Linked DNA regions of Mus musculus: all the other regions are reported to be linked to region 2. The links are microRNA targets in miRTarBase. Many come from high-throughput screens and were not tested one by one. Region 2 holds a microRNA gene; each other region holds the end of a gene's coding sequence.

Region 1 (7,115 bases), not on the chromosome of region 2:
GGAATCAAACCCAGATTTATTTACCTTTCATTTTCCAAGACAGGGTTTCTCTGTTTGGCCTTGACTATCCTGGAATTCAACTCTGCAGACCAGGCTGGCCTTGAACTAAAGAGATCAGTCTCTGCCTCCCGAGTGTTGAGTTTAAAGGACGGCTTGTGCCACCCAACCAAACCCAGATACTGTAGGAGTACGCCCAAGGCCACAGGCCTCACGAATTTCTTGGGTCCTAAAGCCCATCAGCTGTGTGAGCCTATCTGCTGCCCATGCCTGAGGATCTTGTTTCCAGAATCTTCCCAGGCCCGACAGCTAGGCAGCCCTGCCCCTTGACCCAATCCCCACAGCATGTAGTCCTAAGAAGCCTACTCTAGGCCAAAGGAGGTGGTGTAGTGCTTTAGCTCCTAGGCATCTGCATCAAGTACCCCGGGTTCTTTCTAGCACATTGATCCCTTTGAGAATTTTGGTGGGTTTTTTTGTTTTGTTTTTTGAGACCAGCTTTGGCTGGTTTGAAACTCACAACAGTCAGCCTGCCTTTACCTCTTGGATTCTGGGATTAAAGGTGTGTGTGGCATAGCATACCCACCCTACCCCACCCCTGGTTTTTTGTTGTTTTAAAGAAAAAGGCGGGCTGGTGAGATGGCTCAGTGGGTAAGAGCACCCAACTGCTCTTCCAAAGGTCCAGAGTTCAAATCCCAGCAACCACATGGTGGCTCACAACCATCCGCAACAAGATCCTCTTCTGGAGTGTCTGAAGACAGCAACAGTGTACTTACATATATTAATAAATAAATCTTTAAAAAAAAAAAAAAAAGAAAAAGGCTTTGCCTTAGGCTAGAGTCCAGAGAACCCATAGTGGCCTCCTCCAGCTGGCACAGAAGACTGTGGGGAACAAAATCAGCTTAGGACCTCTTCTCAGCTGCTTAGATGAGCTAAAGCCAGAGAAACAGGAGCCAGGGCATCCCCAACAGGCCCTGGTGCCTCCCTTGCCCTCTGACCCTAGCAAGGCCTACAGACTCTTCCTTGAGCATGGACAAGTCCAGGCCACAGTGGGCTGGGGGGATGTTCCAGCTACCAGTGCTCACCCTAACTGTAATTGCCATTGGGCTTCACCAACCTTGACTCTTGTGAGTACTCCAGCTACCCTGGACCATAAGGTCCTGTCAGCAAGCTGATTCGAGTGCTTATACATTTACATTTATTGAGCACCTGTTACATAGCAGGAGCATTTGTGGGCAGCATCTGGAATACAGCAGTGAGATGAAAACAGCCATGCTCCATTCAGAGATGCTCCAAAAGGAGACAGTGTACAGGAACATGGAGCATTTACATGATGCTATCAGTAGTGAGAAAAGGCCAGGGCTGAGCTGTTAGGAGCAAGAGGCCTGTGTGGAGAGGACAGAGCATCAAGTGTGGGGTTGGAGTTTCCCTCAGCTTACACCATTTGTTTGGGGCAAGCAGATCTGAGAGTTCCTGGTAGCAGGCATGAAGGGTGCCTAATCCAACCAGAAAGGCCCCACCTGCTTTTACCCAACGTGTAGTGGTGTACTCAGGTTCTCCCCAGACTTACTGCAGATCACAGCTACCCAAAGGGAAGCAGTCTGCATAAGAGGCACTTCTGTCAAATAATCTAAACCCTATTCTACTAGCCAGGCCTAGCCCAACACTGGCATTTGAACCCCCCACCCCCCCCCCCCTTCTTAATGCTGGGGCAAGTACGCTGCTTCGAGCTTTGGGACTTTGGTGTGCAGTGAAAGGCACTTGAAGGTGCATGCCCCTGAGGTGGCATGCCAGGGGGGGTCATGGCGATGGCATGAGGGTAGCTACCTCTGGCAGTCAGCAGTCTAAGTCAGTAGTGTTCAGTAGTGGGGCTGGGACATAGTGCAAGGCTGGCCGCCCAGCCTGGCATCATCGTGGTCAGTAGTGCAAGGCTGGCCGCCCGGCCTGACATCATCGTGGTCAGTAGTGTTCCAGCTTGAGGCTTCGGTACAAGCAGCAGGTGAAGATCATGCCGAAGACCTGCACACAGGCGATGCCAATGCCCACCGCCCCAATGACCCGCAGGTGCTCCTGAATGAAGGTCTCCAGCTTAGTGATACAGCCACCCTAGTGGGAGAGAAGGGTGGTGGGCCAGGCTGCCTGAAGACCAGTCCGGCCTAGCCCCGCCCCTTGCTGAGAACCCACCTACCTCCACTTTATAGATGTTGGAGGCATGGTCCCGCTTACCACAGCCAGCTACCATAGTCTTACAGCAGCTGTCAGGAACCACGCGGCTGTCTGCCTCACCAGAGCGGATCCACTCGCTGTCTTGCCAGTCTTGAGAGTTGTTGCTGCCACAACAGTGGAACTACAAGGGGCACATGGCTGAGCCTCAGCGCTTGCCGGCACACGGCACCATGCCGAGAGGGCGGGCAGTTCTAGGGGCACCCACCTCTTGCTGCAGCTTGTCGACAGCGCTGCTCACACCCTCGTGGCCTGACTGGTGGTATCTCTTGACCATGGTGTCCTTCAGATTCTCCTTGAGCTCTGTGTTCAGCTGTGGGTAGGATCAAACTCTGGGCAAAGGCAAAGCTGGAGCCAGGACCTCCAATGGGACTGACAGGGCCATGTTCTAGGCACACCCCATGGCCTGTCCAGGCCCTTACCTGCTGATAATAGACATAGGCCAGGATGCCAGCAATGATCTCCAGGAGGAAGATGATGAGGAGCAGGATGAAGTACTAGGGAGCAGGGACCCAGTAAGTGGGGGGTTGCTAGTGCCAGAGTACCACAAAGCCAAGCCCCCAACCCAGGAGGCCAAGCAAGAGGAATTCAGTTAGGAGCTACACTCTGGGGCTGCCTAGCTCCTTCATAGTTCTGAAGCTCGTGTCTGCCCCAACAGGGACAGCCTGCAGTAATACACTCAACCAGTTAAGTCCCCAGAACCAGTACCAGAGGCCCCCTGAGAAATCCATGCAAGGCACCCCTAGCCCCACCGTGTGCCACCATGCCCCACTGACCAAGCGTAACAGGTTCCGTCGCTCCTTGAAAGTGGCACAGCAGCCCAGGACTCCAGTCACCATGACAACAACACCAGCCACCACTAAGATGTAGGCCGTGGCTAGGTAAGTGCTTGAGGCCAGCAGACTAATGTAGTCACTCTTGAGGGCCAGTGTCCAGATGCCCACTGCCATGACAGCCAGGCCGGCCAGCTGCAGAAAGTATATACTGGTCACCACATCTGGCCTGGGTCTGGAAGCTGGGACTGAGCCCCCCAGGCCAGGCCTCCAACATGGGGACTAGGGATGCAGGGAGAAATTAGCTCTTCTCACCCAGAAGCAGCAGTTGTAGGTAAAGAGCAGGTACTTGAGGCAGACTGTGCCACATGTTGCCTTCTTCTCATTGAATTCACCCATCCTGGGCCTAGAGGAACGGGGAGGAGGTCAGATGGCCTGAAGCACCAGGCCTCCAAGTAGGAAGAAAGCTATCTACCAACGGAGACAGGAGGAGATCCAGCAGTCCCCGGATGATTGCAGTTTGGAGCTCAGCCAGCTATCTGCCCTCAGAGGAGCATTCCCAGGAACCTTATGAGTCACTTCCTGAACTAACCTCCTCACAGCCAGACACATGGTGGGTTATCATGGAGGACCCCCCAACATCTGCTGACTCACTCCTGCTGGCAACAGGGGGGGAAGCACCAGCAGACCTTCAGGGTACATTCCTGTTGATCGGCACCCCCAAGCATTCCCTGAGTCCCACAATCAGGCTGCTAGGTACTTACCACTCATACCCGTTCCCAGATATGGCAGAGAGCTCAGGCCACCCTAAGGGACAGTTTGTGAGGACTCTGAGCTGACTCTACTACCAGCCAGGGCAGAGACAATAAGATGCCGGTAGGTGGAGCCTGTACAACCAGCTCTCCTCCCGACTGTAGGGGGAGGTCCCAGTTCCACATATGTGAATGTGCCACTCCTCCAGGAGTCCCCTAGTCACACCCTGCCCTAGACACACTATTGTCTGACTGAGGACAGTGTACAGACCTCGGCTGACGCAGGTCAGATTCCCAGACACACACCTAAGCAGAACTGTTAGCCAGGGGCCTTGAGGCTCTGCCCAGGCACCAGCTCTCACCTCTCAAGTCAGGACCAGCAGGTACAGGTCAAAAGTCACTCTCTGCCCTTCACCTAGCAGGTGGGATCTTGCCACTCCAACTACAGAAGCTTAAGCAGTGGTCAAAATGGTTCTCAGAGCCACCAGATCTGCAAGGAAGCATAACAGGCAGGCCTGCTGTTTTCTACTGGACGGCGGCAGGCCAAAGAACATGGCTGACCTGCCTGATCTAGGGAGGGACCAAATGCCTTCTCCAAGTGCCCCACCTTCCAGTCCCATCCATCACAGTCCCTCCCCCACCAAACAGCAGCGACCGCAAACTGAAGGAGGATGCATCGACTGTCCATTTTGGAAAGTGGGAGAGATTTCAGAGCTCTATTTGGAGATGGGACCCAAAAATGCATGCTGCCTCACTGAAAGCGGGCAATGACATAAAGAAGCCTGGCCACAATGCAAACCCCCGGGGCCAGGCTCTAAAAGCCCAGAATCTATGGGCTTTTAGACACATCCATCAACCTAAGCCAAGAGACAATCAGCAGACTGGATGTAAATTCTCTGTGAAAGTGCCGGTGTGAGAGCCTGGACCAGCCAGAAATAGCTCCTGCGGCCTGGACACAACCGCCCTACACTTAGCTCCTGGACCTGTCCTGGGCCTTCGGCACCCGCCCCACCGACCCGATTAAACACTGAAGTGGGCTGGGCGAGGAATCCCCGCGTCACAGAGATGAAGTCACCACCGCCCCTGCCGCCCTCCCCCGCCCCGTGCCAGTGGGCGGACCTGCGGTCTCAGGGGAGGGAACCGGTGTCCAGGGACAATGAATAGGGTGGTCAGACTTTTAAATTTCTGGGTTTCTGCACGAAAGAGACCGTCAGGCCTGCTCAAGAACCACAGAAGCTCTCTCCCTCACCCCTCCCCCTCCGGCCTTCTAACTGCCCGGCCCCGGCGTCGATCTTCCGGAAAGGAGTCTGCAACCCTGTCCTACCTCAGGCTCTGCCTCCTGGGCGTCCCTGAGGCCAGCTTGGAGACTAGGAACACCAGTGAGCGAGGAACTCAGGACACTGCTCCCCACACCCTCCGGCTATGCTTCACGGAGCACTCACCAACCACGCTTTGAAATACCAGCCCCGGCAGCCACGGTAGGAGCGATCACTCGGAGTACAGAGAACGCTCGGCCCGGGGCCTGCGAGGACACGCCCTGCGCGCGACCCCGCCCCGGGCGCAGCCCCGCCCACGGCCGGCCTGGGCAGGCAAGTCCTAACTGGTTTGGTGCTAAGGCGCGCGCCAGAGAGACCTGTGGGTCTGTAAAGTTAGTTTAAAGGTGCCCCGTTTGTCATCAAAAGCCCCAACTCGCCCAGAGACAGAGGAGCTAGACCAGAGGTAGAACCCAGGTGGGGAGCGAAGAGGTGGGGAAGGTGGCACCTAGCCCACCAGAGGTCCAGAACTGAGGTCAAGACCAGTTTCTCTAGTCTAAGCCGGGAGAACCACTCTAAAGCTGCAGGTTCTAGCGGCTGAAGAAATGCTAGAGGGGAAACTCCAGATACAGTGTGGAGGGTGCCAGAAGATTCCATAGAGACATGAGGGCCCTGCGAGAGGTGCCCAGTGTGGGTGGCATATGGTCTGGCTAGGAACTGTGCCAAAGGATGATGGATAAAGGACCTGGACCAGAAAGCTAGCTGACCACGGAGGTGAGGAGCGGGACCTTCCACGTGTGGACTAGCGTGGGAGCGGACACCTGTTGAAACCTGAGTCCTGGGAGCTTCAGCTGGGAGGAATGGGTGAGGGCTTGGTGAATATCCAGAATCACAGAACACACACAAGCACACAGGAACCCCCAGCTGCAGGAACGAAGGGGTTAATGTGCACCTGTAAACCCCTCCATGTCACCTTGTGCCATGGATACCAAGCATGAACCACAAATGCACCGTGGCTCCCAAACACACAAGAGCCAAGGAGTACACAGTATACAATGGCCTTTATTGGTCCTTCAGACAAAGATTAAGGAAGACAGGATAGCCGGGCGTGGTGGCACACGCGCCTTTAATCCCAGCACTCGGGAGGCAGAGGCAGGCGGATTTCTGAGTTCGAGGACAGCCTGGTCTACAGAATGAGTTCCAGGACAGCCAGGGCTACACAGAGAAACCCTGTCTCGAAACCCCCCCCCCCAAAAAAAAGGAAGACAGGATAAAGACTGAAGGACTGAAGGCCTTGACTACTCTGAGGTTAGCTCCTTCAGGCATGGGATGCCTTCTGGGTAGAGCCACACACTTAGCAAGTATCCGCCACCAAGACCAGTCCCTCCTAGGGGCAGTCCTCTGGATAGGGAAGTGAGTCACTCGGGGCTGGTCATCGGGCACTAGGAAGATGGCCAGAGCCTCGTCTGGGGGGCCGAGCCCAGCCACAGCAGCAGCAGCAGTAGATGGGTCCGGGCTTGTGGGCAATAGCTAGAGCCTTCCTGTGGCTACTGCCCAGCAGCTTGGTCTCACAGGCATCTCTCTCATCTCGAAGCCTCAGATTCAGCTCCCTAGAAAAGAGAGGTAGGAGACCGAGGAGGCTAAGATCTAGAGGAAAAAGTGCATGGGGGAGATGCCTTCCCTGAGTCAAGAGGACTACAGAGCCAGCCGCATGAAGGCTATAGGGCAGACATAAGGACTTCCAGCAACATGGGTAGGAGCCAATACTATCTGGAAACTTGAAACCACTTCCCATTAGCCCAGGCAGGCCTGACCCACCTCAGCAGCTCCAGCTGCCTTAGGAGGCTGAGTTTCTCTTTCTGCATATTCCTGGAGACAGCAACCACATCTCTGTGGACAGGAAGGCTGTGATCCAGATGTGGGTTGGGGGGACAGACCCTTCTACCCTCACCACAGGCACTTCACCACACCTTTGGGTTTGCTCCTGCCGACCCTGTGCTTCGCCCTCCAGTCGACTGAGCTGCTCTTGGGCCTGGTCCAGCTGTGCCCGTATGGCCTCATAGGCCCTCTGCAGCTGGATGTGCTGGGCCTGTGCCTCTAGCTGTTCTGCAGCCCGGGCC
Region 2 (7,115 bases):
AATCCCTTTAAGATCAACTTCTGTGGGCTTCTAGAGTCTATTAGTTTCTTTTTAAAAATAAGACTTCCTTACCTACACACTCTCTCCCTACTGCACAGCACCCCCCCCCCCACACACACACACACACTGGCCATACACAGAATCCTATAAAAGGCTGCTTTTGGGGATAGTTGGAGCATTTGGAATCTAGTTGAAGTAGGAAATTCAGACATTATCTGATGGCCCAGGGCATACAGGTTTGGTTTTCTTTCCCCAGAAGAAAATATTAGACCATTTGTTTCTTCCCCAACCCCCTTCTTTCATCCACCCGGAACTGCTTGTAAACACAGTGCTATAGAAGCACATTCGGAAACATATTTTCAAAAACTCGCTTCTCCTGGCTCCTCAGCTTCCCTCTTGAAGGCTTAAGGGCCTCCTCCACACATCTCCAGGGTGGGTAGTTTAGGAGGGAGGAGCTCAAAATCCGGAATAGGGCCAGAAAGGAGTCCACAGCTTTCTAACCCAGTTCCCTGAAGCTTAAGACTATTCACCATCTTAAGGTTTTTGGCACGCAGGTGTCGGTTATTTTCTGCAGTCCATTCCCCGAACAAATAAATATTTAAGCAAATATAAACTAAACATAAAATAACCCGTTTCCTTCTTGGATTTATTTCTTTGGGCATGGGCCACTGGAAGCAAACAATTTCTTTCTTTCTTTTTTTTTTTTTTTTAAATCACAGAAGAAATTCTATAGATAATCCAGAAAGTTCTGGGATTCTGGCTCAGCCTCTCCTGCTTGCACTGAAAGCACCTAGCACTGGCTGGCCTTCTGCCTCAACTCCCCCACAGTTACTAAGCCACACAGCTCCCTGAAGGGGGTGGTGTGGAGGAGACCATCCCGGTTCCCACTGGGGTAAAGCCTCCAACCTTCATTTGCAAATTCAATCCACCAGCAGAGATTTTCAGGAGTTTAATGACTCGCCAAGGGTTTATGTTCTCAGTAGCTCCTGCCATATGATAATCTACTTAAAGAAGCCCGCCCACCCTCCCACCCTTCCCCACTTTAGGGAGGGGGCTGCCCTCGGGCAGGAAGGTAACCTAGTCCGAGGGCGGCCTGCAGGTCCCAGGTCCACCCCCACAGTACCTTAGAGCCCAGTGAGGTGACAGCAGGCCCCGCCTGCACCCGCAGCTTCGCCTCAACCTGGAGTGCAAGAAGGGATAGGCCCAGGGTCCCCACTTCTATAAGGTCGTCAGGTCCGTATGGTGGTCCTTGGCCATTGGCTGCAAATGCTGGCCCGGGGCAGCTGAAGAGGAGCAGGAAGATGAGGAAGAAGACCTGCCCTTGGTGTTGGGCAGTTTGTGGTCTTTTTTCCACTTCATCCTCCGGTTCTGGAACCAGATCTTGATCTGGCGCTCAGACAGACACAGGGTGTGAGCGATTTCAATCCGACGGCGCCTGGTCAGATACCTGTTAAAATGAAATTCCTTTTCCAGTTCTAGGACTTGCTGTCTGGTGTAGGCCGTCCGGGAGCGCTTGGGCTCCCCGCCGGTGTAGTTGGGGTTCACTATGAGACAAAACATACAAGACAGCCAGGTCAGAGCCCGGCCACTAGTTAGGCCCCAGGCTTGCCTCTGCCCTCACTTCCTGGCGCGTCTCGCAGCCCTCGGGCCCCCCCTGTGCTCCAAGCTGGCCAGCTTCCTCCCTCCCGCCCTCTCCCTAAACATACACACACTCCCACCCAAGCCCTTCCATGCACACACTCCCCACGCTCACAGGTCCTCCTCAAAGGTTCTCCCTTGCCACTGGCCCACCAAGAGCTCGGTATCGCCAACATTTTGGAAAGGTCCTTGTTTTGCTCTGCGTTCCCTCTGCTGTGGAAATGGAGTCCTCCCCCCACCCCATCCCCATCCCCACCCCCTTTTGCGCCCACAGCCAAGCAGCCAGCCACATGGTCCCGGCCTGCTCCCTCAGCTATAAAAATTTATGGAGAGAGTAATTGCGGCGCCCAAGGAAGCTGCACAAGCCCCTACCCATTCGCAACCCCTGGGGTGGGGGGTGCAGGCCAAAAGATGCAAGGAGTGGTGCGGGAGGGCTGTGAGGTCGCTGCCCCCACTCCTTACCCGAATTCACGTGCACCTTCTTCATCCAAGGGTAGACCACAGCGGGCTGCTTGAGTGCTGTCCCGGGGGGCGGCTGCTTGGGGCCGGTGGGCTGGCTGCAGGCCCGAGCGCCAGGCAGGGGCGCAGGCGGGGGCGCTGGGCACCGCTCTCCCGGGGCACCGTAATGACTTCCCGGGCCGCTCGGCTCCTGTCCGTGACCCCTCGCGGGCAGCGCTGAGCCAGGCCCGGGCCCGCCGCCTCCGAAGGGTTGCTCGCCGAAGTCGGGCCGTGGGTAGAGCCCCGAGGGCTGGAAGTCGGCGCCCTGTGCACCGCTGCCGTAGTAGTCGGCTCCCTGCTCGCCTAGGTAGCCACCCTGCAAATATTCCTCGCACGGAGGAAACTTGGGGTCCACGTACTTAGAGTTCACCATATACGAACTCATGGCCATTAATTTCAGAAGGTAGAAAATACTAATTTTTCTCGTGTTGTCTTTTTTCTCCTTCCATTGGGCCCTCCTACTTGCTGTCAACTGAATAAAGTTGGGCGGCCATGTGACCAGGCCAGCCAATAGGAAGAAAGCATGTTTATCACCGGGTTGGTGAGCATCTCATAATTTTCACAAATTTAACTAAATAACATACGTGTAATCAAGTGACTTGCCATGCCACATTTGAGAGTCCCTGACAGATGCTAATAGAGTTCTAATTCTATCCCCGGGGTCCCAATTTCCGGCAGGTAATCTCGGCTTTTGTCTTCCACTGACTTTGCTAACCTCCCATGCCCTCCTTACTCACCATCGCCTGAAGCAGCCCCCAGAATGGACATAGTTCAAAGAAGAGTGAATTCTCCTACTGGGGTGCAAAATAAGGAAGAATGAGTGTGGGCAATGTGGCCTCCGAGTTGGGTAGAGTCCTAGGCAGGCAGGCAGGCTGCCCGGCCAGCTGGCAGGAGTCCTGGACTCTGACATACAAAGACCTGTCTTGGCTTTGTCTTCATCAGGGTCACCCAAAAGTTACCAGAATCTGGCGGACCTGAATTGAGTTAGGCAATGAGTAACCACTATGCTTTTCTGCCAATGCGCAGGCTGGGGTGTTTCTAGTTGAAGTTGGATCTTTCTGCAGGAGGCCCTCACAGTTCTGAGTCTGGTGGCTGAGGGGTTGGGTCATATTGGGATGGTGGGGAGGGGGACCTTAACCTTGCCTAAATGTACCCCAACGGTCTCCGATGGCCTATCTTTCAGTTTGTCTTCTTCCCACACAAGGGCAGGTGAGCCCCATTTGGGTACCTTTGTGTCTCATGCTCCTTCAGAGCAGGGCTTCTGCTGGAGCTTTCTGGCCTTTCACCTCACTCTCTAATACCCTAAAACCTGGCTCTCTGGCTTTACACTCAGACAACCACTTGAGCACCTACTGGAATATCTATAGGAGTTTCTCCAGGAAAAGGCTGTACAATTTCACCAGGCAAAGTCGATCATCCTGGAGTCTAAGGTAATGAAAAAGAAAGAGGTGGCTTGCCGGCTGGGCTGCCAGTACTCTCCGCGCCTCAGTCTCTGGCCATGTCGGAGATATATGAAGTTTTTGCATCGACCATATATTCCCCTAGAATCGAATCTGTGACTATGTGGGTACCACACAAATTCGGTTCTACAGGGTATATATAGACAACGTTACAACCTCGGGTCCTACCCAGAGCAGACATTCAGGCAGCTGCCAGACCTGATCTCTTCAGCACAGCCACCAGGAACTCACCAAGCCTGGCTTTCAGAGATGGTGCAGGTAGGCTCGGTGCATTTCTAAGTATTGCTGCTCGCTACAGCAATGAGTTCCCTCATCGGCTTGCCAGGATGGGGGCCACCAAGTAGCTGAGCAGCCAGGACCTTCTTCTTCTTAAAAAAAAAAAAAAGAAAAGAAAAGAAGGGGAGTTTTTTTTTCACCCCAGAGATGGCGGCTTAATTGCCCCTTCTCAGAACCCAAATCTCCCGCCCCCTTATCAAGTGGTATTTCCCAAAAAGAAGCAAAGGCCCTCAGCAGCAGAAAGGGAGTTTTGAAAAAGGCAAAAGGAATAGTCTTCACCAGAACCTAAGCCAAGTGAGTGGTCACAGCTAGTCCTCCTAGAATTCGAGCATTTACCTTTCTGGGCCCTCAGCCCCGCCGGACTTTCGGATCCCGCTGCTGCTGCTTCTGCTGCTGCTATGACTGCTGCTGCAGACCCGGAGGCAGGCGCTGTTTGCGGCCACCGAGCCTCCCTGGGCTGAGACTGTCGAGCTAATGGTGAAGGGCAGGGCGAGGGGTCATTCGAAATCATTTACAAACATATCACAAAGTTTCATTATTTTTGCTTTGCCGACAGCAGCACAGAAGAGTACAAAAGTTCGCGAATTTCGCCGCCCCAGCGCCTCCGCTGTCCTGGGCTTGCCCCTCAATTCAGGGCATCAAGAGCCCAGATGCACTCTGGGGCTGGGCTGATTTCAGGGGCAGAGGGATGCCCTGGCCTGGGCCGAGCTTATGGATGCCTGATAACAGATTGAAGATGTCCACATTTCTAAGTATTGTTTTGATCCCTTCCTATATAATTCGAAAAATCACTTTCAAGCCCCATGCCTTGATTTTGATGGGGTGGGGCAGGGAGACTCCCCTCATCATATCTGGCAAAATTAGGTGCTCACTTTGACCCTGTACTTTGCCCTTCCATGCCCTCCCACCATCTTTCACTTCCACTATTTTGCAGGGATTTCCCAGGTGTCAGTTCTAAAAAAAAAAAAGGGGGTTAAAATCCGTTTGTTTAAAGACTCTCCCCAGTTTCTCCTAATGCCAGCCCTTTCACCCATGGACACGTTGACAGGCCTTTCTGGGGACACTGGGCCTACCTCTGTTTTACCCAGACAAATTGGGGAAGTCCGATGGGTTGAGTGAGGACCAAGATGAGTACACACATTTTCATATTTGTTAGACATTGTGACCTGCATTTCACCTTATTGCTCGACTTGTTCAGACAGGTCAAAGCCAACAAGTTATTGATGAACAAAAGCGTTAAATATTCACCTCCCTCTCAACTGCCCATACAAATGCTTTTGATCTCTCCGGCTTTTTGTGCTGTGGGCAGCTACAAGGCGCCAGCAAGCAAGCAGCCTCAGCAGAGATGAGCCCTCACAGCCAAGGGTGCCAAGGAAGAGGGCAGGGGCAAGGCCAGAGAAAGTCTGGGGAGTCCAGATTTTTCACCATGGAGCCTGGTTCACTGTGTGCAGGCCTGGTTCATAGAAGGAACTACAAGCTGTAAAGGTCTTCACTTCCCTGTTAGCTCAGCCTCACCAGGGGCCCAGCAAAGAAACCTGGCCCTGAGCCCAGTCTCAGCTTCTCTGACCAGGAAGGGAAGACATCTCACAAGAGAGGGAGGATGCCTGGTCCCTGTGGTCCTTACCAATCTGCTACTGTTCCATTAAAATTAAACTACCTGTGGTTTGCAGTGAGTGGCAAGCCTCTACTATTTCCTTGACTCTCCTTCTAGTGCCAACCCTTCTAATGACACCCAGAAGATGTCACCAGCATTCTCAGCTTCAAACTTCAGAGCCAAAGAACTGGAGTCCCTGCCTCTGATCCCACCCAATTCCACTGGACTCTGGAGTAGAGTAGAAATTCTTCAACTGCAGCTAAGGAGAAACGGAGGGAAAGAGAAAGTACTCTTTTTGTTCACCGGGTATCCCAAACTGGGACCCACACCAGTGAAGCTAGGACCCAGAAAGGGACAGGAGAGGAATGTCTACATAAGCTCAGAAGTTGTAGCCCTTCCTGGAAACAGGCCAATCCAACACACCCAAGACCATCAAGGGTTATATGTTTGTTTTTGTCTGTAATAAATCAAATTTTAAATTAAAACCTATATACAGCAAGAGAAGGCTGAGATAGACTGGGCAGAGAGAATAATGGCTGGACAGCAGAGAGGGACCCCCGTTGCCTTGGTGTTGATTGGGTCAATTCTAGCAGTTGTGGATGCTGGCCCGCCCGTAGTTCAGTTCGTTGATAGGGTGGGCTGCTAATTAGCTGCAAGTCTGCTGCACCTGTGCGAGCCAGAGAAGCCTGGCAAAGGCCTGTATGGTCCAGAGAGGTCCGGGAAGACAAGGGCGGTCCCCTGCGGTGCGTTTACTTGAGCAGGTGACTGTGAACTAGGTCCCAGAAATACTTCCTAAAGGGTCAGCCTAGAGCTTCCATCCCTCCACGAAGCGAGTCCGTTTTGGCCTGGGGAGGCAGCGCCACTCCGCTACTCCTTAACCCTCCCATCACCGCTGGCGCGGACCTTCCGCCCACCTCCTCCCAGTCTTAGCACTACCCTTTCGTTCCTCGGAAGAAAAGGGAAGGTACTTACAGTGGTTCTCCCTCGTTCTCCCTGACGCTCCAAAACCTGTTGCAATGAAAGTGGGGTCTCTCAAATTTCACAGGACAATAAAGCATCCATAGGCGACATGCAGAACGTGACAAGGCCCAGACATTCCACCAATACCTAGAACTCCTTGCTTCTGGTGACCGCCTTCGGGTACTGCACAAAGTTTTCCTCTGATAGCATCCTCAAAGGCAGAGCTAAGGGCTATGGGAGTCTGTCCTGGTCACCTACCCTACTTCACGCACCCTTGGGCAAAACCCAACCAGTTATACGGCCTGACTCAGACTGCCTGAGGCAGGGTTTCCCCAGGGGGGAAATGGGAAGTCAGAAAATAGGCCTTTGTGCATTTCCTTCTGGTGTGGGAGGGTGGGTGCGAGCCCACTGGTGAGAGCCTGCAGACATTCTATTTGTCCCGACCCCAATTCTGCTCCCTCTGGAAACAGTTCAGACCTCCTTTTCCAGTTTCAGGTTGGTTTTTAATTCCACCCCAGCGTCCAAACCTGCATTCTCCTCAAAGAGGAGGCATGGCAGGCAGGGACATATTTTTTTTTTTCCATGTCTCCAATTCAAAACAGTCATTTCCTTCCGAGGGGAAATGAGAACCCAAAAGATAACCAGAAAGGGAAATTGATGTGTTTAAAGGAAAATGATCTAGATCTTAC
Region 3 (7,115 bases), not on the chromosome of region 2:
GTCTCTCCACTGGCCTACGTGCTGAGAAGGGGGCGGGGGTCCCCAACATGTTGGATCAATAAAAATCCTCATGCGGTTTGCAGCGATGGCAGTCTCTGTGGTCTTTGTGAGTGAGGGTCTTTTGACGAATTCCAACGGCACCTCTCAGTCCCTCAGTAGGGACACCCAAGTATCCTGGTTTAAAGCAATGGAAGTGAGAGAGGGGTTCTGGGGAGATGGCTCAACTGTTAAGAACACTGGCTATTCTAGAAGACCCTAGTTTGATTCCAAGCACCTACATTCGTAGCCTACAAATGCAGTTCCAATTCCAGGGCATCTGGTAACTTAATAACATGAGTCAAAACACAAAATTAAAAAGCAATAGGAGAGCCAGGTGGTGGTGGCACGCACTTTTAATTCTTGCACTAAGGCAGGGCAGGCAAGGCCAGCCTGGTCTACAAAGCTAGAACAGCCAGGGCTATTACACAGAGAAACCATGTCTCAAAAAGACCAAAACAAAATGAGAGGGCCAGTAGAACATTCAGAGGGTGACTATTCTTAGAAGTTTCTTCTGTTTTATTTGTTGAGGGAGGTGCTCCTGCTTGCCTCTGCCTCCCCAGCACTGGGGTTAAAGGTACACCCCCTCCCACACCTGGCCCCATCTCTTGCCACCTCCCTAATAAGGCTGGGCAACTAGATCCTGCCTAGGTAAGGTGCCCCTCAAGCCCCTTGGCAGTGTTCCTCAGCTGGCTCTTGCCTACCTACTGAGCCCCTTTGGGAGTCTGAATGAATCATACACTGAGGCTGAGACCAAAGCTTTGCATTTGGTCCCTTCACTGTGGTAGCTTCCCTGACTGCTCACAGAATCCTCCAAAATACAGAGGAAACCTAAGCAGCCAGAAATACAGGGCTGGAAGTGCTTCCCTACCATGTGTGAGGTCCAGGGTCTCCTGCTGTTTTGACAGCCAGCCACATAACTCCTAGAACTGAAGGGCATGGCTCCAGTTCAGTGGCCAACACCAGTATCAGAGACAGAAGATACACAGTGAATTCAAAGCTAGCCTGAGCTCCTTGAGGCCTGTCTTAACACAGCAAGATTGCCTAGTGGGTAAAGGTACTTGCTACTAAGCGTGGTGACCTGGGACTTAGTGGGAGAACTCGCTTTTATAAGTAGCCTTCTGACCTCTACATGCACCATAGGATGTGTAACCTTCCCCGCGTCCCATACAATAAATAAATGGTTAAAAATGAAAAGGGCAGCCAGGCGTGGTGGCACGCCTTTAATCCTAGCACTCCGGAGGCAGAGGCAGGCGGATTTCTGAGTTTGAGGCCAGCCTGGTCTACAAAGTGAGTGAAAAGAACAAAAGAAAGAAAAAAAAGAAAGAAAGAAAGAAAGAAAGAAAAGGGCTGGGGCTGGCAAGATGGCTCAGTGGGTAAGAGCACTCACTGCTCTCCCAAAGGTCCCGGGTTCAAATCCCAGCAACCACATTGGCTCACAACCGAGTGTAATGAGATCTGATGCCCTCTTCTGCTACATCTGAAGTCAGGTATGGTGTACTTATGTATAATAAAATAAATCTTTGGACCAGAGCAAGCAGAGATTGAGCAAGCAGGGTTGACCAGAACGAGCAGAGGTCCTAAAGTTCAATTCCCAACAACCACATGAAGGCTCACAACCATCTGTACAGCTACAATGTACTGGCATACATAAATAAACCTTAAAAAAAATGAAAAGGGTTGTTAGGCTGGGCTGAGTGGCTAAGAGTTGGATTCTACCCCCCCCCCCCCAAGCCAGAACTGGATAGGACTGTCATATCTGTGCTGTGGGAGATGAGAGTGGAGGATGACTGGGGCTCCAGGTTCAGTGAGTGACCCTGCTTCAAAAAGTAAGATGGCAGACCTATTGGCACACAAGGACATGAGGCTAGCCTCTTGCCTCCACATCCATGTACAGGTGCCTGTTGTTGCCCAGCTACTTATAGAGGTCAAGTGCTTGCTACAAAGGCATGAAGACATAAAAAGCCAGGGGTAGTGAAGCATATTCATGCCAGAGCTGGGGAGGGAGGAGGAGGAGGAGCCATGGGGCTCACTGGCCCAGCCTCCAAGTATACAGGAGGAAATTTGCACCTCAGCCTGAGGCGGAGGATCAATAGAGGTCAGTCTGGGCTGCAGAGGTTAGCTATAGAAATGGGTGCTCTGACTGGCCTTTAGGAGTGTAGCTGGACCTGGACTCTTGCAGGAACAGAATCCTGGTGCAGCATAAGGTAGCTGAAGCCATAGAGGTGCTATAGGAGCCACAGCAACAGTAAATTTATACACAAACATACACTTATGCACATGTATACACACATGAAAGCACACACTCGCATGCAAATACACTCAAAGTTCGTTAGACACCCAGGCATGAAAAAAAAAGACAAAAACAATCTTTTTGCCTTGCATACACATGTGATTTGTGTGTGTAGACACTTGTGCTTGTTTGTGTGTAGGTGCTTCTCTCACTCTCTCTCTCTATATATATATCCTCAAACTCTGAGATCCACTTGCTTCTGCCTTCTGAGTGCTGGGACCAAAGGTGTGCAAGGCTGTGCCTAGCACACTTAAAATTTTTTGTGTGGGTGTGTGCATGCCACAACACAAATGTGGAGGTCAGAGGACAACTTACAGGAGTTGGTTCTCTCCTACCATGTGGGTTCTAGAAATTGAACTCACATTTTGAGGCTCAGCAGTAATTGCCTTTACCTACTTAGCTATCTTGCTGGCCCTCCACCTTATACATAAGGCATGGTTTCAGGATGAACCTGGCCAATAGTAAGCTCTTGCCCATGATCCTGGAACCTTTACCTGACTCTCCCACTAGGATGGCAGGTGGAGCTGGATCTGCCCAGCTTTTGGGGGTTGTAGAGATCCCAACTCTTGATTTCCATATCTGCCAGTCAAAGGCTGACCAAGCCATCTTCCCAGCCCTGGATTTTTGTGGGTTGTCCTGATGGGAGCACAGAGCAAGACCCTCCCTGACAAACCAGAACCAAACTCCAACCCCTGGAGACCACCATTTATTTTTGGTAAATGCCAACCAGGAGCACAGCTACTCCCATAGTACAGTCTATGACACAGGAGCCTCAAGATGACAATGGAAAGCAAGAGCATGACAGGTTTCCTGTTTCAGACCCAAGGTTTTGGGGCTGGGGTCTAGCCATGAAGAGCTCACTGCTTGGAGTCCTCCCAACATACAGAGAAATCAAGTTCCATGTATTTTGCTGCCTTAGTTCATCTGGCTCCTCTACTCTGTCAAGAAAGTTTTGGGTTTCCCTAGAATAAATGACATAAATTAAGGTGCTGGGTATGGCAGCTCCTCCAGGCACGGAGGCTAAGGCTGGAGGAGTGCCTTCTATTCTGTGGTCAGCCTGGTCTAAATAGGCAGATACTATCTCAAAGAAATAAATAAAAGCTCCAAGTGCACTAATAGTGAGAAGACATCCACTAAGCCTCATTTTCTTCTTCTGTAAAATGAAGGAGCTGGGTAGGTCAGGATCAGCGTTTTGGCTAAGCAATTTCAAAGGGTACGTGGGAACAGCAACATAAATTCTCAAATAAACCCCAACAGAGGTGGATCGGGTCAGTCCTGGAGAGGGAGAGGTGAATGTAGTGGGATGTAAGACACAGGAGTAGGGCTAATGTGACTTTGAATGGACAGATGTAAACTGTGGATCAAGTCTGTTTTGTTGTTGCTCTCATATAGCCCAGGCTGGCTTCCAATTCACTATGTTACACTGAACTCCTGATCCTAACTGCCTCAGCCTCCTGAGTAATGGAGTAACATTCGTGTATGCAGTGCTGAGGGTGGCCAGGACTTCATGCATGCAGGTAAGCACTGTAGCCAGAGCGGCAGCCCCAGCTGTTTGTCTTTTGATCCGAGAATCTGGTCTACCCTGATTGTCTCATCCATTCCAGTGTTCATACTTGCTGTGAGCCTATGAACAGAACTAAATATCCCATTTATTAATTTATAAACCGTTAAGAAAAGTGAGACGGGCCATTTTGCTCCCTGAAAAAGGAAAAATGCATTAATACACAAATTATAGGAACATCTTGGTAATCTTAAAAGACATAATTCATTCTGAGTCCAGAGCTGAGTCAGGGTCACCCATAGAGACCTCTGCAGTGACAGGTGTCTCAGGCCAGCCTTCCCCAGTGAGGAGAACCCAACAGACGGCCTTACCAAGGGACTTCTTCTGCAAACCAGCTAGGACTAGGCAAGGCAGACGGGACTGTCCTGAGGCCGGGGGTGCCAAGTCTCAGGCAAGCAGGAGACTAATATGATAAACCGGGCAGTGGTGGCGCACGCCTTTAATCCCAGTGCTCGGGAGGCAGAGGCAGGCGGATTTCTGAGTTCGAGGCCAGCCTGGTCTACAGAGTGAGTTCCAGGACAGCCAGGGCTAGCTACACAGAGAAACCCTGTCTCGAAAAACAAAACAAACAAAAAACCCTAACCTTCAATATAAAACCCCAAGTAATCAAAAGCAGAGGGACCCAACAAATCAGGAGTTAAGGACTGGGGTGCCATGATGTACCTGTGAGCTCAGTTCTTAGCAACAGAGGAGGCACAAATGCTAAGGTCAGCCTGGGAGGCTTAGTGGGATGACTCCATCTGGATGTGGTGCCCATGGTTTTAAAGAATCCAAGCACTCAGGAGGCAGAGACAGATATATCCCATGAGTTCAAGGTCAGCCTGGTCTATATTATAAGACCCTCTCTCAAAACCAAAAAACCCTGAGACCCATTGATACCCCTTCCTATCATTTACCTGCTGTCAATTGCCACAATGGCATTGAGCTCACAGGCTTGGGGAAGTCTCTTGCTTCTGCTTCAAGAGTACCTAAGACCATAGGTATGGGCCACCAGCCCCTCAACTTTTTCAGAGAGAGTCTCATTATGTAACCCAGACTGACTTTAAACCCATGGCCATCTTCCTGCCTCAGCCCCTCGATATATGCCACTATGGCAGGTCCCTAAACTGATCATTTTCCTGAGGCAGCTTCTCATTGAAGCCCAGGCTGGTCTGGAACTTACTTTGTAGAGAACCTTGTCCTCTAGATCCTCCTGAATCTGCTTTAAGAGTGCTAGGAAGGCAGGCAGGCCTGTACCACTGCGTGGCATTCTGTGGACAGAATCTAAGGCTGCACGAATGCTAGACAGGCACTCTACCCAGCCTCAAAGTGATTCTTAACTAAAAAACCAAGACCTGCCTGGTGTCCCATTTGCCAGAGCACAGTTAAAACCCTGATACACATGCGGTCTCCTCACTGACAAGCAACACTGTACTCGGGTATGAATACCTCCTTCTACCTCTGTGGCTGCAACTTCAGTACCCTTCGGCATTGCCTGCTACCACTGACCTGGGAGGGACTGGCTCCAGCAACAAACATCCCATATTTTGAAATGAGACAAGATGGTTTCCATCCCATGGCCGACAAGATGTTCCCCAGAGAAACTTAGGTTCTGAGGAAACTGTCATCACCACTCCTTGGCCTTCTGTGCCATCAGGAGAGTGGGGAGCAGACAAGCTGCTCCTCTAGAGTCCAAGGGCCCCCCAGGCCCTGCTTTGGCACCCACAAGGCAGAGGAAGGTCACAGCTGATGGGCTGATGGTCACTATAAGTCTGCCCTTGGGCAGCACTAGCTGCAAGTGGCCAACTGCCTTGGGGTATTCTAGGGCTCTGTATCATTGGTGGGATCAGGTAATGCCACCCATGTCAGCCCTCCATCCTTCTGGGCTGTATCCCAGCTGTCCTCTCCATGATATCCCAGATGCCATCTCCTGTTGGCTTCCAGGATTGCAGCCAGGAGGTGCCAGTTCTGTAGAGCATGTCCCTACTCTCACCAGAAGTTCAGATCAGACCTCTGTAATATGCCAGGGACAACCCTGTACACAAATGCAGAGTGGCCTCTTAGTGGAGGCGTAAACCAGGGTCTCTCTGTGGTTCTTTTCTGCCCCGAGTTTGTGGGTGTCCATGCTATGATCACATCCTGCAGCCCATCAGGGGCCAGGGGCCAGGACCCAGAGCTCCCCTGATGGCCCACCAAGTGTCATGTGCTCAGTCAGGCTGCCAGAATATTCTGAAGCTTCTGAGCTCAAGAAGGGGGTGCAGAAGGCCTGGCCTGGCCTATACATCATGTCGGCTGAGAGCATAGGAGTTTGGGTGGCCCTGGCGGCTGTATTGGAAGTGGTCTGTGAGGAGGATATTGCGGTACTGGAAGTCACCCTGCTGGGGGAACAATGCACCATTGTGGGGCTTTTCCACTGGGCTCCGCAAGTGCTCTCTGCTGCTCAGGTCTGACGTGGAGATGGGAAGAAGATGGCGCCGGGCCTGCTGATTCGCATCATACTTGGTCTGTGTGAAGAGAGCAATGAAAAGCACAAGGGAACTTTGGGTATGGGGGGGCATGTCATCCTAGCTCTATGGAGGCAGAGTCAGGAAGGGCAGGTGTATAAGGCTAGCTACATGGTAAGTTTGAAGCCAACCCAGGCTACATGAGACTTAAAAAAAAACGAAGAGAAGTCACCGGGAGGGGAGGGGAGGGAAGAACATCAGCATAAAAAAGGTCACCCTAAAACCAAGGACTAGGGATGCTTCTGTAGTAGAATGCTTGTCTACAAGATATATGCTCGAGGCTCCATCTCCAGCACTACATAAACCAGGATACAGATACAGATACAGACACCTGTCATTCTACTCCAAGGGAGGTGGAGCAGGGGGTCAGAAGCTGAAGGCCACTCTGGGCTACACAAGACTGTTCTAAAACAAGTAAGACACAAAGAAGGCTTCTGGCCTCTGCACCGATTGCCCTAGAGATCAGGGTGTAGAGGCAGGAGGATAGTGAGTTCTAGAAGGCCTGTGCTTAGACGCCTACTGCCACACTCTTCTGTCTAGCACGTACAACCCACACACCCTGTAAGGCACCCTTGGGACCTACAGCTAGAAATCCCTCCCCTCTCTTTCCCTTGGCTCCTTGTCCCAAGGGTGTGCCTGCTAGGGGACAGTAGCACCCAATGCTCACCTTGTTGTACAGGAAGACACCCAGAATGGCGGTCATCATGCCCAACACATTGGTGCTGGTCACTGGGTTGCGCAG
Region 4 (7,115 bases), not on the chromosome of region 2:
ATTCTTTTTTTTTCCCCTGAGGTGGGGGCTTGTTCCATAGCCCAAACTGGCTTTGCACTTGCAGTTCAAAGTGACTCCCTGTCTCCACCTCTTAGAGTATTGGAATTACGATGTGTACTACCACACCTGACTGGATCATTAATTCTTTGATGGGGGCGGGGAAGCGCACATGCTGCAGGTGAAGGGATGACTGGACTGGACATGAGCGTGGAAGCCAGAGAACAGCTTCAGTCTAATGCTCTCCCAACTGAGCTATTTCGGTTTGCCAGAGAACAACTTACAGAAAGTTCTCAGTGCCATGTGGATTCGGGGTTGGAGTTCAACTCATCAGCTTGACATTGGCTCCTCTACCCACTGAGCCTTCTCACTACTCTCTACCTAGATCATTAATTCTTTTTTAAAAAGACTTATTAGGGGGCTGGAGAGATGGCTCAGCCGTTAAGAGCACCGAATGCCCTTCCAGAGGTCCTGAGTTCAATTCCCAGCATGCCATTGCTGGGCAGTAGGGGGCGCAGGTGTTCAACGTGAGTAGCTGTTGCCAGTTTTCCGCGGTGGAGAACCTCTTGACACCCTGCTGTCCCTGGTCATTCTGGGTGGGTGCATGGTGATATGCTTGTTGTATGGAAGACTTTGACTGTTACAGTGAAGTTGGGCTTCCACAGTTACCACGTCTCCCCTGTTTCTTGCAGGCCGGGTGCTTGTCCATTGCCGCGAGGGCTACAGCCGCTCCCCAACGCTAGTTATCGCCTACCTCATGATGCGGCAGAAGATGGACGTCAAGTCTGCTCTGAGTACTGTGAGGCAGAATCGTGAGATCGGCCCCAACGATGGCTTCCTGGCCCAACTCTGCCAGCTCAATGACAGACTAGCCAAGGAGGGCAAGGTGAAACTCTAGGGTGCCCACAGCCTCTTTTGCAGAGGTCTGACTGGGAGGGCCCTGGCAGCCATGTTTAGGAAACACAGTATACCCACTCCCTGCACCACCAGACACGTGCCCACATCTGTCCCACTCTGGTCCTCGGGGGCCACTCCACCCTTAGGGAGCACATGAAGAAGCTCCCTAAGAAGTTCTGCTCCTTAGCCATCCTTTCCTGTAATTTATGTCTCTCCCTGAGGTGAGGTTCAGGTTTATGTCCCTGTCTGTGGCATAGATACATCTCAGTGACCCAGGGTGGGAGGGCTATCAGGGTGCATGGCCCGGGACACGGGCACTCTTCATGACCCCTCCCCCACCTGGGTTCTTCCTGTGTGGTCCAGAACCACGAGCCTGGTAAAGGAACTATGCAAACACAGGCCCTGACCTCCCCATGTCTGTTCCTGGTCCTCACAGCCCGACACGCCCTGCTGAGGCAGACGAATGACATTAAGTTCTGAAGCAGAGTGGAGATAGATTAGTGACTAGATTTCCAAAAAGAAGGAAAAAAAAGGCTGCATTTTAAAATTATTTCCTTAGAATTAAAGATACTACATAGGGGCCCTTGGGTAAGCAAATCCATTTTTCCCAGAGGCTATCTTGATTCTTTGGAATGTTTAAAGTGTGCCTTGCCAGAGAGCTTACGATCTATATCTGCTGCTTCAGAGCCTTCCCTGAGGATGGCTCTGTTCCTTTGCTTGTTAGAAGAGCGATGCCTTGGGCAGGGTTTCCCCCTTTTCAGAATACAGGGTGTAAAGTCCAGCCTATTACAAACAAACAAACAAACAAACAAACAAAGGACCTCCATTTGGAGAATTGCAAGGATTTTATCCTGAATTATAGTGTTGGTGAGTTCAAGTCATCACGCCAAGTGCTTGCCATCCTGGTTGCTATTCTAAGAATAATTAGGAGGAGGAACCTAGCCAATTGCAGCTCATGTCCGTGGGTGTGTGCACGGGTGCATATGTTGGAAGGGGTGCCTGTCCCCTTGGGGACAGAAGGAAAATGAAAGGCCCCTCTGCTCACCCTGGCCATTTACGGGAGGCTCTGCTGGTTCCACGGTGTCTGTGCAGGATCCTGAAACTGACTCGCTGGACAGAAACGAGACTTGGCGGCACCATGAGAATGGAGAGAGAGAGAGCAAAGAAAGAAACAGCCTTTAAAAGAACTTTCTAAGGGTGGTTTTTGAACCTCGCTGGACCTTGTATGTGTGCACATTTGCCAGAGATTGAACATAATCCTCTTGGGACTTCACGTTCTCATTATTTGTATGTCTCCGGGGTCACGCAGAGCCGTCAGCCACCACCCCAGCACCCGGCACATAGGCGTCTCATAAAAGCCCATTTTATGAGAACCAGAGCTGTTTGAGTACCCCGTGTATAGAGAGAGTTGTTGTCGTGGGGCACCCGGATCCCAGCAGCCTGGTTGCCTGCCTGTAGGATGTCTTACAGGAGTTTGCAGAGAAACCTTCCTTGGAGGGAAAGAAATATCAGGGATTTTTGTTGAATATTTCAAATTCAGCTTTAAGTGTAAGACTCAGCAGTGTTCATGGTTAAGGTAAGGAACATGCCTTTTCCAGAGCTGCTGCAAGAGGCAGGAGAAGCAGACCTGTCTTAGGATGTCACTCCCAGGGTAAAGACCTCTGATCACAGCAGGAGCAGAGCTGTGCAGCCTGGATGGTCATTGTCCCCTATTCTGTGTGACCACAGCAACCCTGGTCACATAGGGCTGGTCATCCTTTTTTTTTTTTTTTTTTTTTTTTTTTGGCCCAGAATGAAGTGACCATAGCCAAGTTGTGTACCTCAGTCTTTAGTTTCCAAGCGGCTCTCTTGCTCAATACAATGTGCATTTCAAAATAACACTGTAGAGTTGACAGAACTGGTTCATGTGTTATGAGAGAGGAAAAGAGAGGAAAGAACAAAACAAAACAAAACACCACAAACCAAAAACATCTGGGCTAGCCAGGCATGATTGCAATGTCTACAGGCCCAGTTCATGAGAGGCAGAGACAGGAAGACCGCCGAAAGGTCAAGGATAGCATGGTCTACGTATCGAGACTCCAGCCAGGGCTACGGTCCCAAGATCCTAGGTTTTGGATTTTGGGCTTTGGTTTTTGAGACAGGGTTTCTCTGTGTAGCCCTGGCTGTCCTGGAACTCGCTCTGTAGACCAGGCTGGCCTCAAACTTAGAGATCTGCCTGACTCTGCCTTTGAGGGCTGGGACGAATGCCACCACTGCCCAACTAAGATTCCATTAAAAAAAAAAAAAGTTCAAGATAATTAAGAGTTGCCAGCTCGTTAAAGCTAAGTAGAAGCAGTCTCAGGCCTGCTGCTTGAGGCTGTTCTTGGCTTGGACCTGAAATCTGCCCCCAACAGTGTCCAAGTGCACATGACTTTGAGCCATCTCCAGAGAAGGAAGTGAAAATTGTGGCTCCCCAGTCGATTGGGACACAGTCTCTCTTTGTCTAGGTAACACATGGTGACACATAGCATTGAACTCTCCACTCTGAGGGTGGGTTTCCCTCCCCCTGCCTCTTCTGGGTTGGTCACCCCATAGGACAGCCACAGGACAGTCACTAGCACCTACTGGAAACCTCTTTGTGGGAACATGAAGAAAGAGCCTTTGGGAGATTCCTGGCTTTCCATTAGGGCTGAAAGTACAACGGTTCTTGGTTGGCTTTGCCTCGTGTTTATAAAACTAGCTACTATTCTTCAGGTAAAATACCGATGTTGTGGAAAAGCCAACCCCGTGGCTGCCCGTGAGTAGGGGGTGGGGTTGGGAATCCTGGATAGTGTTCTATCCATGGAAAGTGGTGGAATAGGAATTAAGGGTGTTCCCCCCCCCCCCAACCTCTTCCTCAGACCCAGCCACTTTCTATGACTTATAAACATCCAGGTAAAAATTACAAACATAAAAATGGTTTCTCTTCTCAATCTTCTAAAGTCTGCCTGCCTTTTCCAGGGGTAGGTCTGTTTCTTTGCTGTTCTATTGTCTTGAGAGCACAGACTAACACTTACCAAATGAGGGAACTCTTGGCCCATACTAAGGCTCTTCTGGGCTCCAGCACTCTTAAGTTATTTTAAGAATTCTCACTTGGCCTTTAGCACACCCGCCACCCCCAAGTGGGTGTGGATAATGCCATGGCCAGCAGGGGGCACTGTTGAGGCGGGTGCCTTTCCACCTTAAGTTGCTTATAGTATTTAAGATGCTAAATGTTTTAATCAAGAGAAGCACTGATCTTATAATACGAGGATAAGAGATTTTCTCACAGGAAATTGTCTTTTTCATAATTCTTTTACAGGCTTTGTCCTGATCGTAGCATAGAGAGAATAGCTGGATATTTAACTTGTATTCCATTTTCCTCTGCCAGCGTTAGGTTAACTCCGTAAAAAGTGATTCAGTGGACCGAAGAGGCTCAGAGGGCAGGGGATGGTGGGGTGAGGCAGAGCACTGTCACCTGCCAGGCATGGGAGGTCCTGCCATCCGGGAGGAAAAGGAAAGTTTAGCCTCTAGTCTACCACCAGTGTTAACGCACTCTAAAGTTGTAACCAAAATAAATGTCTTACATTACAAAGACGTCTGTTTTGTGTTTCCTTTTGTGTGTTTGGGCTTTTTATGTGTGCTTTATAACTGCTGTGGTGGTGCTGTTGTTAGTTTTGAGGTAGGATCTCAGGCTGGCCTTGAACTTCTGATCGCCTGCCCCTGCCCCTGCCCCTGCCCCTGTCCCTGCCTCCAAGTGCTAGGACTAAAAGCACATGCCACCACACCAGTACAGCATTTTTCTAACATTTAAAAATAATCACCTAGGGGCTGGAGAGAGGGTTCCAGCTAAGAGTGCACACTGCTCTTGGGTAGGACCTGAGTTTAGTTCCCAGAACCTATACTGGGTGGCTCCAGGTCCAGAGGATCCAGGACCTCTGGCCTCCATGGGCATCTGCTCTTAGCACATACCCACATACAGATACACACATAAAAATAAAATGAAGCCTTTAAAAACCTCCTAAAACCTAGCCCTTGGAGGTACGACTCTGGAAAGCTGGCATACTGTGTAAGTCCATCTCATGGTGTTCTGGCTAACGTAAGACTTACAGAGACAGAAAAGAACTCAGGGTGTGCTGGGGGTTGGGATGGAGGAAGAGGGATGAGTAGGGGGAGCACGGGGAACTTGGGCAGTGAAAATTCTTTGCAGGACACTAGAGGAGGATAAATACCAGTCATTGCACCCACTACTGGACAACTCCAGGGAATTATGCTGGGTGAAAAGAGAAGGCCCCAGGTATTGGCTGCATTGGCTGCATTTGCGTAACATTTTTTTAAATTGAAAAGAAAAAGATGTAAATCAAGGTTAGATGAGTGGTTGCTGTGAGCTGAGAGCTGGGGTGAGTGAGACATGTGGACAACTCCATCAAAAAGCGACAGAAAGAACGGGCTGTGGTGACAGCTACCTCTAATCTCCACCTCCGGGAGGTGATCAAGGTTAGCCCTCAGCTAGCCTGTGGTGCATGAGACCCTGTTTCAAAAACTTTAATAAAGAAATAATGAAAAAAGACATCAGGGCAGATCCTTGGGGCCAAAGGCGGACAGGCGAGTCTCGTGGTAAGGTCGTGTAGAAGCGGATGCATGAGCACGTGCCGCAGGCATCATGAGAGAGCCCTAGGTAAGTAAGGATGGATGTGAGTGTGTCGGCGTCGGCGCACTGCACGTCCTGGCTGTGGTGCTGGACTGGCATCTTTGGTGAGCTGTGGAGGGGAAATGGGTAGGGAGATCATAAAATCCCTCCGAATTATTTCAAGAACTGTCTATTACAATTATCTCAAAATATTAAAAAAAAAGAAGAATTAAAAAACAAAAAACCTATCCAGGTGTGGTGGTGTGCACCTATAGCCACGGGCACTTGGAAAGCTGGAGCAAGAGGATGGCGAGTTTGAAGGTATCTGGGGCTGTACAGCAAGACCGTCGTCCCCAAACCAAACCAAACAGCAAACCCATTATGTCACACAAGAGTGTTTATAGTGAGCGGCCTCGCTGAGAGCATGGGGTGGGGGTGGGGGTGGGGGACAGAAATATCTAAACTGCAGTCAATAGGGATCCACTGAGACCCTGGGGCTTGACTGCAGCTTAACCTTGGGAAATGATAAGGGTTTTGTGTTGAGTAAAAGCATCGATTACTGACTTAACCTCAAATGAAGAAAAAGAAAAAAAGAAAACAACAAAAGCCAAACCAAGGGGCTGGTGAGATGGCTCAGTGGGTAAGAGCACCCGACTGCTCTTCCGAAGGTCCAGAGTTCAAATCCCAGCAACCACATGGTGGCTCACAACCATCTGTAACGAGATATGATGCCCTCTTCTGGTGTGTCTGAAGACAGCTACAGTGTACTTACATATAATAAATAAATCTTAAAAAAAAAAAAAAAAAAAAAAGCCAAACCGAGCAAACCAGGCCCCCAAACAGAAGGCAGGCACGACGGCAGGCACCACGAGCCATCCTGTGAAAAGGCAGGGCTACCCATGGGCCGAGGAGGGTCCAGAGAGATAGGCTGGTAAGCTCAGTTTCTCTGTATACCCTTTTTCTTGTTGACACTACTTCAATTACAGATAAAATAACAAATAAACAAAATCTAGAGCCTGGCCACTCTCTGCTCGCTTGATTTTTCCTGTTACGTCCAGCAGGTGGCGGAAGTGTTCCAAGGACAGATCGCATCATTAAGGTGGCCAGCATAATCTCCCATCAGCAGGTGGTGCTGTGAGAACCATTATGGTGCTCACAGAATCCCGGGCCCAGGAGCTGCCCTCTCCCAAGTCTGGAGCAATAGGAAAGCTTTCTGGCCCAGACAGGGTTAACAGTCCACATTCCAGAGCAGGGGAAAAGGAGACTGGAGGTCACAGACAAAAGGGCCAGCTTCTAACAACTTCACAGCTCTGGTAGGAGAGATAGATCACCCCCAACAATGGCCACAGCTGGTTTTGTCTGCCCCGAAGGAAACTGACTTAGGAAGCAGGTATCAGAGTCCCCTTCCTGAGGGGACTTCTGTCTGCCTTGTAAAGCTGTCAGAGCAGCTGCATTGATGTGTGGGTGACAGAAGATGAAAAGGAGGACCCAGGCAGATCGCCACAGATGGACCGGCCACTTACAAGTCGAGGCAGGTGGCAGAGCCTTGCAGAAGCTCTGCAGGTGGACGACACTGATTCATTACCCAGTTAGC

Evidence for each region. The annotated mature microRNA mmu-miR-10b-5p reads UACCCUGUAGAACCGAAUUUGUG and lies in region 2 at 3,710-3,732, opposite strand. An mRNA with a match to its seed (bases 2 to 7 or 8) in the 3' UTR can be bound and repressed. Matches are read on the target gene's strand: a 7mer-m8 pairs with bases 2 to 8, a 7mer-A1 pairs with bases 2 to 7 and ends in A, and an 8mer does both.
Region 1: the mRNA of Cracr2b is a reported target of mmu-miR-10b-5p. Seed matches in the 3' UTR shown: 7mer-m8 at 6,223-6,229.
Region 3: miRTarBase lists Slc35e1 as a target of mmu-miR-10b-5p. Seed matches in the 3' UTR shown: 7mer-m8 at 5,902-5,908, 7mer-m8 at 4,435-4,441 and 7mer-A1 at 3,908-3,914.
Region 4: miRTarBase lists Dusp3 as a target of mmu-miR-10b-5p. Seed matches in the 3' UTR shown: 7mer-m8 at 1,659-1,665, 7mer-A1 at 2,542-2,548 and 7mer-m8 at 3,032-3,038.

The regions. Positions count from the first base shown.
Region 1 is chr7:141,465,536-141,472,650 of GRCm38, reverse strand. Cracr2b (calcium release activated channel regulator 2B) reads right to left here. Exons shown (of 10, transcript NM_001025103.2): 8 at 6,966-7,115; 9 at 6,814-6,885; 10 at 6,049-6,605. The coding sequence ends at 6,428. Cd151 (CD151 antigen) reads right to left here and starts at 5,289. Exons shown (of 8, transcript NM_001111049.1): 1 at 5,185-5,289; 2 at 4,105-4,232; 3 at 3,306-3,396; 4 at 2,994-3,185; 5 at 2,640-2,714; 6 at 2,426-2,530; 7 at 2,183-2,341; 8 at 1,170-2,100. The coding sequence starts at 3,389. The coding sequence ends at 1,954. It overlaps Polr2l (polymerase (RNA) II (DNA directed) polypeptide L), which reads left to right. Exons shown (of 2, transcript NM_025593.1): 2 at 1-791. It overlaps Gm10575 (predicted gene 10575), which reads left to right and starts at 4,880. Exons shown (of 2, transcript NR_152219.1): 1 at 4,880-5,769.
Region 2 is chr2:74,722,691-74,729,805 of GRCm38, reverse strand. It overlaps Mir10b (microRNA 10b), which reads right to left and starts at 3,736; the gene lies at 3,669-3,736. The region is part of intron 1 of Hoxd3 (homeobox D3); the gene reads right to left. It overlaps Hoxd4 (homeobox D4), which reads right to left. Exons shown (of 6, transcript NM_010469.2): 3 at 6,439-6,474; 4 at 3,828-4,343; 5 at 2,101-2,930; 6 at 646-1,544. The coding sequence starts at 2,527. The coding sequence ends at 1,219.
Region 3 is chr8:72,477,621-72,484,735 of GRCm38, forward strand. Slc35e1 (solute carrier family 35, member E1) reads right to left here. Exons shown (of 6, transcript NM_177766.3): 5 at 7,041-7,115; 6 at 375-6,373. The coding sequence ends at 6,146. Among named protein-coding and RNA genes, the nearest start is that of Cherp, 5.9 kb to the left of the region's middle.
Region 4 is chr11:101,968,514-101,975,628 of GRCm38, reverse strand. It overlaps Dusp3 (dual specificity phosphatase 3 (vaccinia virus phosphatase VH1-related)), which reads left to right. Exons shown (of 3, transcript NM_028207.3): 3 at 690-4,486. The coding sequence ends at 895. Among named protein-coding and RNA genes, the nearest start is that of Sost, 5.1 kb to the right of the region's middle.